Linked DNA regions of Rattus norvegicus. The protein of the gene in region 1 purifies or fractionates together with the protein of each later gene. This does not show direct contact. Links are inferred from orthologs where the notes say so. Each region holds a gene or a part of one and is shown on either strand. Other genes may lie near its edges.

What was found.
Region 2: the proteins of Tubgcp3 (region 1) and Lgals3bp purify together in Homo sapiens (affinity purification with mass spectrometry; 4 studies listed by BioGRID and IntAct, counting the BioPlex papers as one, with this or other methods). This does not show direct contact. The link is inferred for Rattus norvegicus from reciprocal best matches to the Homo sapiens genes TUBGCP3 and LGALS3BP.

What each region holds. Positions count from the first base shown.
Region 1 is NC_086034.1:83,552,349-83,556,868, forward strand, and holds the start of Tubgcp3 (gamma-tubulin complex component 3), read left to right. Parts: upstream 1-1,636; 5' UTR 1,637-1,707; coding exon 1,708-1,783; intron 1,784-4,520. UniProt on the Homo sapiens protein: Component of the gamma-tubulin ring complex (gTuRC) which mediates microtubule nucleation.
Region 2 is NC_086028.1:104,124,965-104,129,534, reverse strand, and holds the start of Lgals3bp (galectin-3-binding protein precursor), read left to right. Parts: upstream 1-1,686; 5' UTR 1,687-1,821; intron 1,822-3,529; 5' UTR 3,530-3,550; coding exon 3,551-3,602; intron 3,603-4,570.

The DNA.
Region 1 (4,520 bases):
CTTTTAGTGTTTTTGTCACTGTCTTAGTTGACTTAGTGTCCTGACTTGCCTGACTTGGACTGTGCGTGGAGGGTCTGGTGATGTTTTAATCCACTGTGTCTAGAAAGCCTCTCTTGCTTCATGCTCTTTGAAGCCATGACTAGGCCCATGAACATTTCTATTTTCCTGCTAGGTCATGTGGTTATTACTTTAAAAAAAATTTAAAGTTCATTTTGTGTGTGTGAGCAAACATGTGGAGGTCAGGGGACCAACTGAGGTAGCTGCTTTTCTCCTACAGTACGGTTCCTGAGGAACTCAAGTCATCAGGCTTGGTGACAACAGCCGCCAACTGCCGTCAAGACCATGTTCCTATCCAAACGCCTGTCTGGAGCAGCTATTTAACTTTCTAAGTGTTTTCATCTACCAGCTGACATTTCACCTCAAATAGCCACACTGACTAGCAAACCACTCTAGCTTTTCCTGACTCAATCAAAAGATTGTCAATACATCTGCAGTTAGATGTGGGGGTGTTCAGTTCAGAAAGCCATGCTAAGACTTCTTGCTGGGATCACTCCTATTACCAAAGGAGGTGTGCTAGGACCCAGTCAACAAAACAGAGTCTACAGAGACGTCGGATGGAGATCTGGTTATGTGGCTGATGGAAACAAAAGTGGAACACCTGAAGGTTTGCTCTTGCTCCCGGGGTGGAGGAAACACCAGGAAAGCCTGACGTTAGTCATATGGCCTTATTCTAGACCTTCTGATTGGGGCATCACCTGTGTGGGTGATACAAAGTAGGTTGCAGCGAGGAAGAATGGGCTGAGAGCAGAGGCGTTGAATCTCAGCTTGTTAAGAGTCATAGTCAGATTCCAGGCTGAAGCCGGAAGTCCCCTCTTGCAGTTTTCCATCGTTGGCTTCAACAGGCTGAGCCCCCACTAGGTACCATTTGTCCAAGGAGTGCGTTAGCATTCTGTATATCATAGAGCGGACAGGGAAGGGTGGCTAAGCGGTCTGCGAACAAAAGAAGGATAAGGGCATGCTCTCCATTAAACTCCCGGTGAGTTCCGCTGCCATCATAGTCCTGAGTCAGTGGCCAAGAAAGGAGCTTTCATTTGCCGACCACTGAGCACCCCGGCAGGGGCGGCGGAGCTAGGTTCCCAAGCGAAGAGGACTCTCTTCTTTCTGCGTTCCAGACACCATGGATCTTCTCCTGTCTGCGTCCGATTTTTCCATTGCAGCACAGCTCCGCGAGCATCTCCATCAAGCATCTCCATCTCAGAACTCCCCATTTCCAGGACTACCTGCTGGTGACGTCAAGGTGCTGAGGTTCCAGACCCCAGATAACTCACTTGTGAGAGCCTTGCGTAGCAGCTTAGCTCTTGTCACTGTCCTGGGGCTCAAGCGCGCTCGGACTCGGCATCCAGATGTAACTCCAACCAGTGCTGTTCACAAGAGGCGCCCAGACCGCAAGCTGCGGAAGCGCACTGCAGTCCCGGGAACTAGTTACCGCGAGCGTCGCCCAGCAACCGCTCCGGCGTTGCGGTGACCCTTCCGGCGCGGAGAAGCTGCGAGCGCAGTCGCAGAGGAGACGCATGCGCGCCTCGCGCGGGAAGCGGTGCATTATGGGAGGCGCGCGCTTTTGCCGCTTCCGCGAATATGGCGGCGCCGTAGTCAGGGCGCGAGATCCTGGGGTACGGGGAGGCTGCAGTGCGCAGTCCGGGAGCGGTAATGGCGACACCGGATCAGAAGTCGCCCAATGTTCTGCTGCAGAACCTGTGCTGCCGGATCCTAGGCCGGAGCGAAGGTACGTGCAGCCGGGCCGAGGACTGTGGAGGCTGAGCGCCATGACCCCCGCCGGCCGGGTGCTGTTCCCCCGGGCCCCCTGGAAGGAAAGGGGTGCGGCTCGCGGACTGTCCCTGCCCTGAGGGGCAGGGCGGGAGCTGCTCTAGCACCAGGGTTTGGTTTTTGCTCCCGGGTCCAGAGAACAGCGTGGCTTGCAGCTCTGCTTCTGCGTGCTTCCCATTCTGCTGTCACCTTTGCCTCTGGTGATGTCCAGGTTGGATGGTGCTAGCTTATTCCTGCAGAGTTCAAGTAGCGAATAGTGCTTCTAAGAAGCCAGACCCCAAGTCAGTTCTGCTTACTTTATCCGTATTGTTGCCGCGGTAGTTGGGGGAAAAAATGTCAAGGATCTGGTTTCTTGAAGCTCATTTTGGAGTTGAATGGGGACGCGTAATGAGAAAAGGCTTTAGTAATTGACGTGACTGGGTTACAAGTTCCTTACACGTTAGAGACAAATTGCTCCGGTTTTCAAGGAAGACTTTAAACAGAATTGCATTTTAAAAACTCAGGGAGCCTTTTGATCTTTCGTAATTTGCAACAACTTGTCGGGGTAGAGGATGAATTACTCTGTCACCACTAAACCGTTGACTTAGCACAGTTCTTGCTTTATACTTTGTAGTGTTTCACTGTGCAGTTTATTCCTGTAAGAAATCTTTGAGTCTCCCTCGCTCCTATTATGCCATAAGAAATGCTCCTATCTAATGGAGGGAATGTGACTAGTGCGTTGGTGAACACAGTGTAAGAGATAAAGCGCTGGGGGTGGGTGGATAGGAGGAGCTTAGAGGGAAAGGAAGTCTTTTGGGGGAAAGTAAGTAAGATGGGGAATTTAAGCCCCTATTCCAGCGACTGGTAAGAGTGAGTGAGGGTCGTTCCAGCATCTGGGGAGAGTGTGAGTGGAGAGGACAGTTTACTTTTCTGATGGAAGTGACCCAGTCTTAGGCGAAATCAGATAGCTAAGGTATGAGTTAACACACCATACTGTCATTTTTCCTTTATTGCACTGGGTCCAGAATTTTTACCTTCCAGAAAGAACCTTGCGGTTATAACTGGATTTTGAAGTTATTCAGTATGAATTTCTAAATTTGAATTTTACATTAAGATCCCTTTTGATAGAAGCGTCACAGCCTACACGTGATTGAAATGCCACTTTGAAATTTGGCATCCTCCCGTTCTCCCACTCCCATTTGTGATCATGTCTTGTGAATCACTGGTCTTTCAGAGAGATCCAGGATAAAATATTCCATAAAACTCATTAAGGATGATGCTGCCTTGGCTGTTGATGGGGTTGAGAGACACAGAGTCCTCCGGATTCTCAGTCCTCACACACTTTGTTGCCATTTTGTTCTGACAGGTGTGTAGCAATAGCTTGTTTTCATCTCTTCCCTGATGCTGCCCAGCGTCTTTTCATGACTTCTTGTTTGGCCGTTCAGTTCTCCCTACGGTTGTATTTTGTCTCTTTTTTTCATAACTTATGTTGTTGCTAGATTGCCTACCCTTAAAATTTTTAATGTTCTTTGTTTATATGGGTCCAAGTCCTTTGTTTTCTGTTTTGAAAACTTTTTTTCCCTTCCAGTATTTTAACTCTTAACAGTTTTTTTTTCTTTGCAGAGTAAACTTTTTAAAAGGCTTTTTTTCATGTAGAGATTTTTGAAAAGGGTATTTTACTTGTACATCTGTCTGTACACCTTGTCTGCAGAGGTCAGAAGAGGGTGCAGGATCTCCTGGAACCCAGTTGCAGATGATTGTGAGCTGCCCCGTGCTGGGAATTGGATGCTACTCTTTTGGAAGAGCAATAGTGTTCTTAACTGTGGAGCCCTCTCTCTAGCCCTAAAATCGTGATGAATCCCAGTTTATCCACATTGAAAGGGGAGGGGGCAGGGCGATGGCTCAGCAGGTAAGAGCACTTGCTCTCCAGGCTATAGAACCCATGGAAGAGCTTTGCATGGTCGAGTGCATTTGTAATAACAGCATCCTAAGGAAGTGTGGGAGATGGACAGGAGAGCATTAAGAACCAGCTAGCCTGGAGTTGCTGCTCCAATGATAAAAACAGCAGGAGAGGCCGCTTTCTCCACAAGGAGGGAGGCAAGAATAGATCCCCAAAAGCAATCCTTTGAGTTTTACTCTGCCCCCCAACTCCTTCCCCGGAAGAGGAAAAAAAACACTTAAAATGATTATGATTTGGGTGTTGCATGAAGAACTCCACAAAGTCATGAAGATTTCTCTCTTTTCATCTTTTTCCCTAGGAGAGGCTATATTCTCTTGTCATGTGTGATATGAGGAGGCTATATTCTCTTGTCATGTGTGATATGAGGAGGCTATATTCTATTGTCTTGTGTGATATGAGGAGGTTATAGTCTATTGTCATGTGCGATATGAGGAGGCTATATTCTCTTGTCATGTGTGATATGAGGAGGCTATATTCTATTGTCATGTGTGATATGAGGAGGCTATATTCTATTGTCATGTGTGATATGAGGAGGCTATATTCTCTTGTCATGTGTGATATGAGGAGGTTATATTTTATTGTCATGTGTGATATGAGGAGGCTATATTCTATTGTCATGTGCGATATGAGGAGGTTATAGTCTATTGTCTTGTGCGATATGAGGAGGCTATATTCTATTGTGTTGTGCGATATGAGGAGGTTATAGTCTATTGTCATGTGCGATATGAGGAGGTTATAGTCTATTGTCTTGTGCGAT
Region 2 (4,570 bases), on another chromosome or scaffold:
ACACATGTACATGGTGTGTTTGCCTGCAGGCAAAATGCTCACACACATAAAATAAATGAATCCTTAAAAAAAAAAAAAGTAGACACCAAGGACAGAAACACAGCAGGTAAATTCCTGAACCATACATCAGAAAGGAACAGGGTGATTTTATACCAATTTGAAGTCACCTGACTTTGCCTCCTGGGTCATTTGTGTCGGACGTTTTGAATAGCATTCAAGAGTTGAGTGTCTTGAGGTAGTAAACCTTATGGGGCTGGCAGCTGGGGGAGCCACAGGGAGCTGTTGGGATTTAGGTCACTGTATAAACCTATCATAAGGTTAATTTTAATGTATTTTATATATTTGGAAGTTTTGTCTGCATGGATGTGTGTGCACCACATATGTGCCTGGTGACCATGGAGATCAGGAGAGGGCGTTGTATCCCTTAGAACTGGAGTTATGGTGATTGTGTGCAACCATGTGGGAGTTCCTAAGGGAACCTGGGTTCTTTGCAAGAAGAACAAGTGTTCCTAACCACTGAGCAACCTCCCAGTCCTCTTTGAATTTTATATAATTTTTCACATTTATTTACTGTGTGTGTCCACGTGCATGCACATACAGGCTATGGTAGACATACAGAGATCAGAAGACAGCTTACAGGAGTCAGTTTTCTCCTGCAGTGAGTTCCAGGGATCAAACTCACAGTGTCAAGATTGGCTGGCTGCAGGTTACCATCTCTGTTGTTGTTAGTTTTGTTGTTGTTGTTGTTGTTTTGGGTTTTTTGTTTGTTTGTTTTTCTCCTTTTCTTCCTTCGAGGCAGGCTTTCTTTGCGTAGCTCTGACTAACCTAGAACTTACAACGCAAACCAGACTAGTTTCTAACTATCAAAGATCCACCTACCTCTGCCTCCCAGTTGAAGGTGTTTGCCACCACAGGTATTAAAGAAACCTCTTAAGATTTAAATTTTAAACGTATGTGCACTGCGTGTGTGCATGCATGAGCACACTTGGGTGTATGTGTGTGCCTACAAAGTCTGATCCCATGGAGTTCACTTAAAGCCTGTTCCAAGCCAACCAACATGGGTGCCAGGAATTGAACTCAGATCCCCCGAGAGAGTAGGCAATGCTCTTAACCAGCAAGCCACCCCTAGCTCCTAGCCCTGCTTCCTGTTTTCTATCTCGATTCCCATCCCTCAGGACCACTCTGTGGCCCACATACCTTCCCTCCGAGCATGCTCTGAGCACGGAAGGTTTGTGCAGTGAGCACAGCCAGCCTCCCCAGATCCAGGAAAGGATTGTGCAGCCCACATCCATGTTCACAGACACTGTGTGACCTGAGCCTCTGCTCCCCGGCCCATTTGCAGCATCTTCTCACCATCCACCGGGGTGCCTGCCTGGCCAGCCTGGACAAGTTGCCCCCCACTGTGCTTACCAGGCCAGCAAGGGGATATATCTGTTCCATCCCCTTCCAAGCTGCCCTCCCAGGGTGCCTGCCTGGCCAGCCTGGACATGTATCTGTTCAGCCGCAACATTGTTGTTTTATCAGCTCAGCACAGGGCACTTGGGTGCTTGCCATCCTCCCTGCAGAGCAGCAAGCAGAGGGCTATTAGCCTTGTCTGCAGCCAACCCCAGAGGCAGCCTCCGTCATGTGTTTTCTGGAAATCGAAACTAGACTAGGTTTATAAAGCATTTCCGGGGAAGAGGCTGAGGAAAACCACATGGTGGGGCCTTTCTCAGCTGAACAGTCTACAGAAAGCTTCGAGCTGCAGCCAGCAAGGAGGCTCCAGGACCATCTGCAGCAGCTGCCTGGACAGGTGACTGACTACCTGTCTCTTGCTCCCAGGTGAGTCCCCGCTCTACACAGCATAATTTCTGGGGGGGGGGGTCGCAGAACACAGGAACACCTAGACCTGCAGAGCCTCTAAACAGTTAGGCAGGATGTTCACTGAAAGAACAACTGAAGGGGTGAGTGGGGTACAGTTCATCCCTCGGCCTTCTCCTGGGTCTGTGGATTCTCACCCAGGACTAAACAGACCTACACAGTGGTACTGAATGAGCCAGCATAGGCAGGCACATCCCAAGTTCCCACACAAAGGAGTCAGGCAGAAACAGCCCCTGTCATCCAGTGGACAAAAATGTCCACATACCCTGCAATGTTCCCAAGGCCTAAAGTTCCTGACCCAGCATGGACAAACCCTATAACCACAGCTTATAGTAAATGGAGGGGGTGGGCACCCAGGGCACTTTGCCTGGGACTCAGGTTTCCCGGAACCCAGACCTCCTTGGGATAAGACTGGGTGCACAGCACTAAGGATCAAGCTTCCCACCCATCATCGAGTTATAGAGTTCAGCGGTCAGAGCCTATAGTGAGAATGCTCCCCTGGTAGCCAGACTCCGCCAGCCACACTGAGAAGAGTCCAGTGGCCTTCCCCCATTAACATCCCAGAGTCTATAGGGGATATTAACATGAGGTTTACATAGAGGAATGTATAGCTAACTGGTCTGCCCTATGCCTGGGCTGTAAATCCCAGACTGGGCTGATATTTCCTGGAGACAAGCTTCCCCTCCGGCTGTCACCAGGCAACAGCTTTCTCCTTTCAGCATGAGACTCCCAGGGGGAATTCCAGTTCTGTCCTTGCTTCAGTAGTACGATAACCGAAGGGAAGGGCACGAGTTTGTCTTAGACTATCTTCACCCTTGCCAAGATGGCTACAAGAGCCCTGGATCACTGAGGTCTTGCTCGTGCTGCTCTGGTACAGAATGTCTGGGGTGGAGGACAATCCTGGTGTTTCTACTGATCCTGGGATAACCTCTACTGCTGGTCTCTGGGCCCCTGGTCTGAGTAACAAAACAGTTTGAGATTCGTTGCTGAGTTCCTGCCCAGGAGACAGAGCTCTACAGCACCGTCCACTACCAGCCCCGACCTCACTGCCCTCGGGACTAGAATGAGTCTACCAGGGCTGCTGCACTTTGCTCTCTAGGTCAGCCCCCTTCATGCAGGGCCCGAGAGAAAGTGCCTGGGTGGGGCCCATTCTACAGACAGGCGAGAGAGTCTTAGTATTGAGTCCCTGTGTGTCAGCACCTTGGCAGTTGACCCTGACCCATCTCCCACTCATCCCCAGATCACGCCATGACCTCTGCAACTGTCTCTGTCACTTCCTCCTGAGAGTTCCCTGCTCCAACCTCATCCACAACACCCTCCCAGACTGGCATATCTTGTCCCTTTGGGGCACACCCCGAAGGGGGCTGCTGCCTGAAGATAAGACCAACCGTTGAGGGATAGCCTCTTGTCTATTTCCTGGGTTCTCGTTGCCAGGAGCCCTCAACCCACCTGCCTCATCTGGGGAGACTTACTGTCCTGAAGGTTGTCCCATAGAGCATGTGAGAGAGAGGCCTGCATAAGGGTCATCTCATGGCCATCTGGGCCTTACGGAAGAGGGACCACCCACAACACCATCCTGTCCTCCACAAACTTGACAGGGGACCATGGAACTACCAGTCTCCTCCGGAGAGCTGTGGCCAGTCTAACTTTGTTGTTCCTTCTGCTGCAGGTTGGGCTTCCAGGTCAGGCAATGGCTCTTCTGTGGCTCCTCTCTGTGTTCTTGCTGGTTCCAGGGACTCAAGGTGAGTCCTGCTCAGCGAAAGGTCCAAAACAGAAGTCAAGACCGTGCGCCTTGGTGCCTTGTTCTGTGTGGGTCACACACACACCCCCTCCCCATCTTTGCAGAAAAGCCAGGTGGCATCCTGTAAGACACCATGTCTTAGGATTCTCTGCCATGTGGATCCTCAGTCATTCTGAATGGTGGCCCTGTATGGGCCCTGCCCCCTCCCCGAAATGCAGGTGTTGGAGAAGAGACCAAGGAATCTTTTTTCACCTCATCAGTGGGCCAAGGAGGGAGAGTGCAGCCTGTGTTGTCCTGGAGTTTGAGCTCTCAGGTCACAGGCTAGAATGCCAGAGAGTCCCTGTGGAACAGTTTACAAACTGCACCATGGGTCTGAAAGCCTTGCCCATCCTGGACCCTCAGCTGAGTATCTCGCTCTAGCATGGGTGACCCCAATTCAAGCACCCAGCCGGCATGGACAGAGACGGGAGTCCCAGAGAGCAGGGAGCAGGACTCCCTTGGCTACCTGTGCCTGAGGGCAGACTGTCTCTAGTCCAGTGTTGTCCCCTCTAGGCAGACACTGTAGGGATGAGGTAGCAACTGTATGTGCGAGTTGGGATATCAGCGCTGTGCACCCCGCTCCTCTCTTACAATGGGACCCCACACCACAGCTCCCTCGTCCCCACACTTTGGAGGGAGCAGGCAGCATGGCAATGTCCTGTTGCTGAGTGGGGACAGTCCAGAGGCCATGAGACAGGTGGCACTGGGGTGTCAAGACATCACCCATCGTAAGCCGAGGTTAATCTGCTCTCTGCCTGTGTCTAGGAACCCAGGACCCACCTTCCCCTTCATACCAGCGTTTCAGAGAGCCAGGAAAGAGCCTCTCCCCCCCCCCCCAAGTTCACTCAGTAGGCTGAGAGCCAAGGTGTCCTCTTGGAGAAAAAGACCCAGAGATGAGAGCTAGATAGACCATGGCCTCTGTGGGCTCAT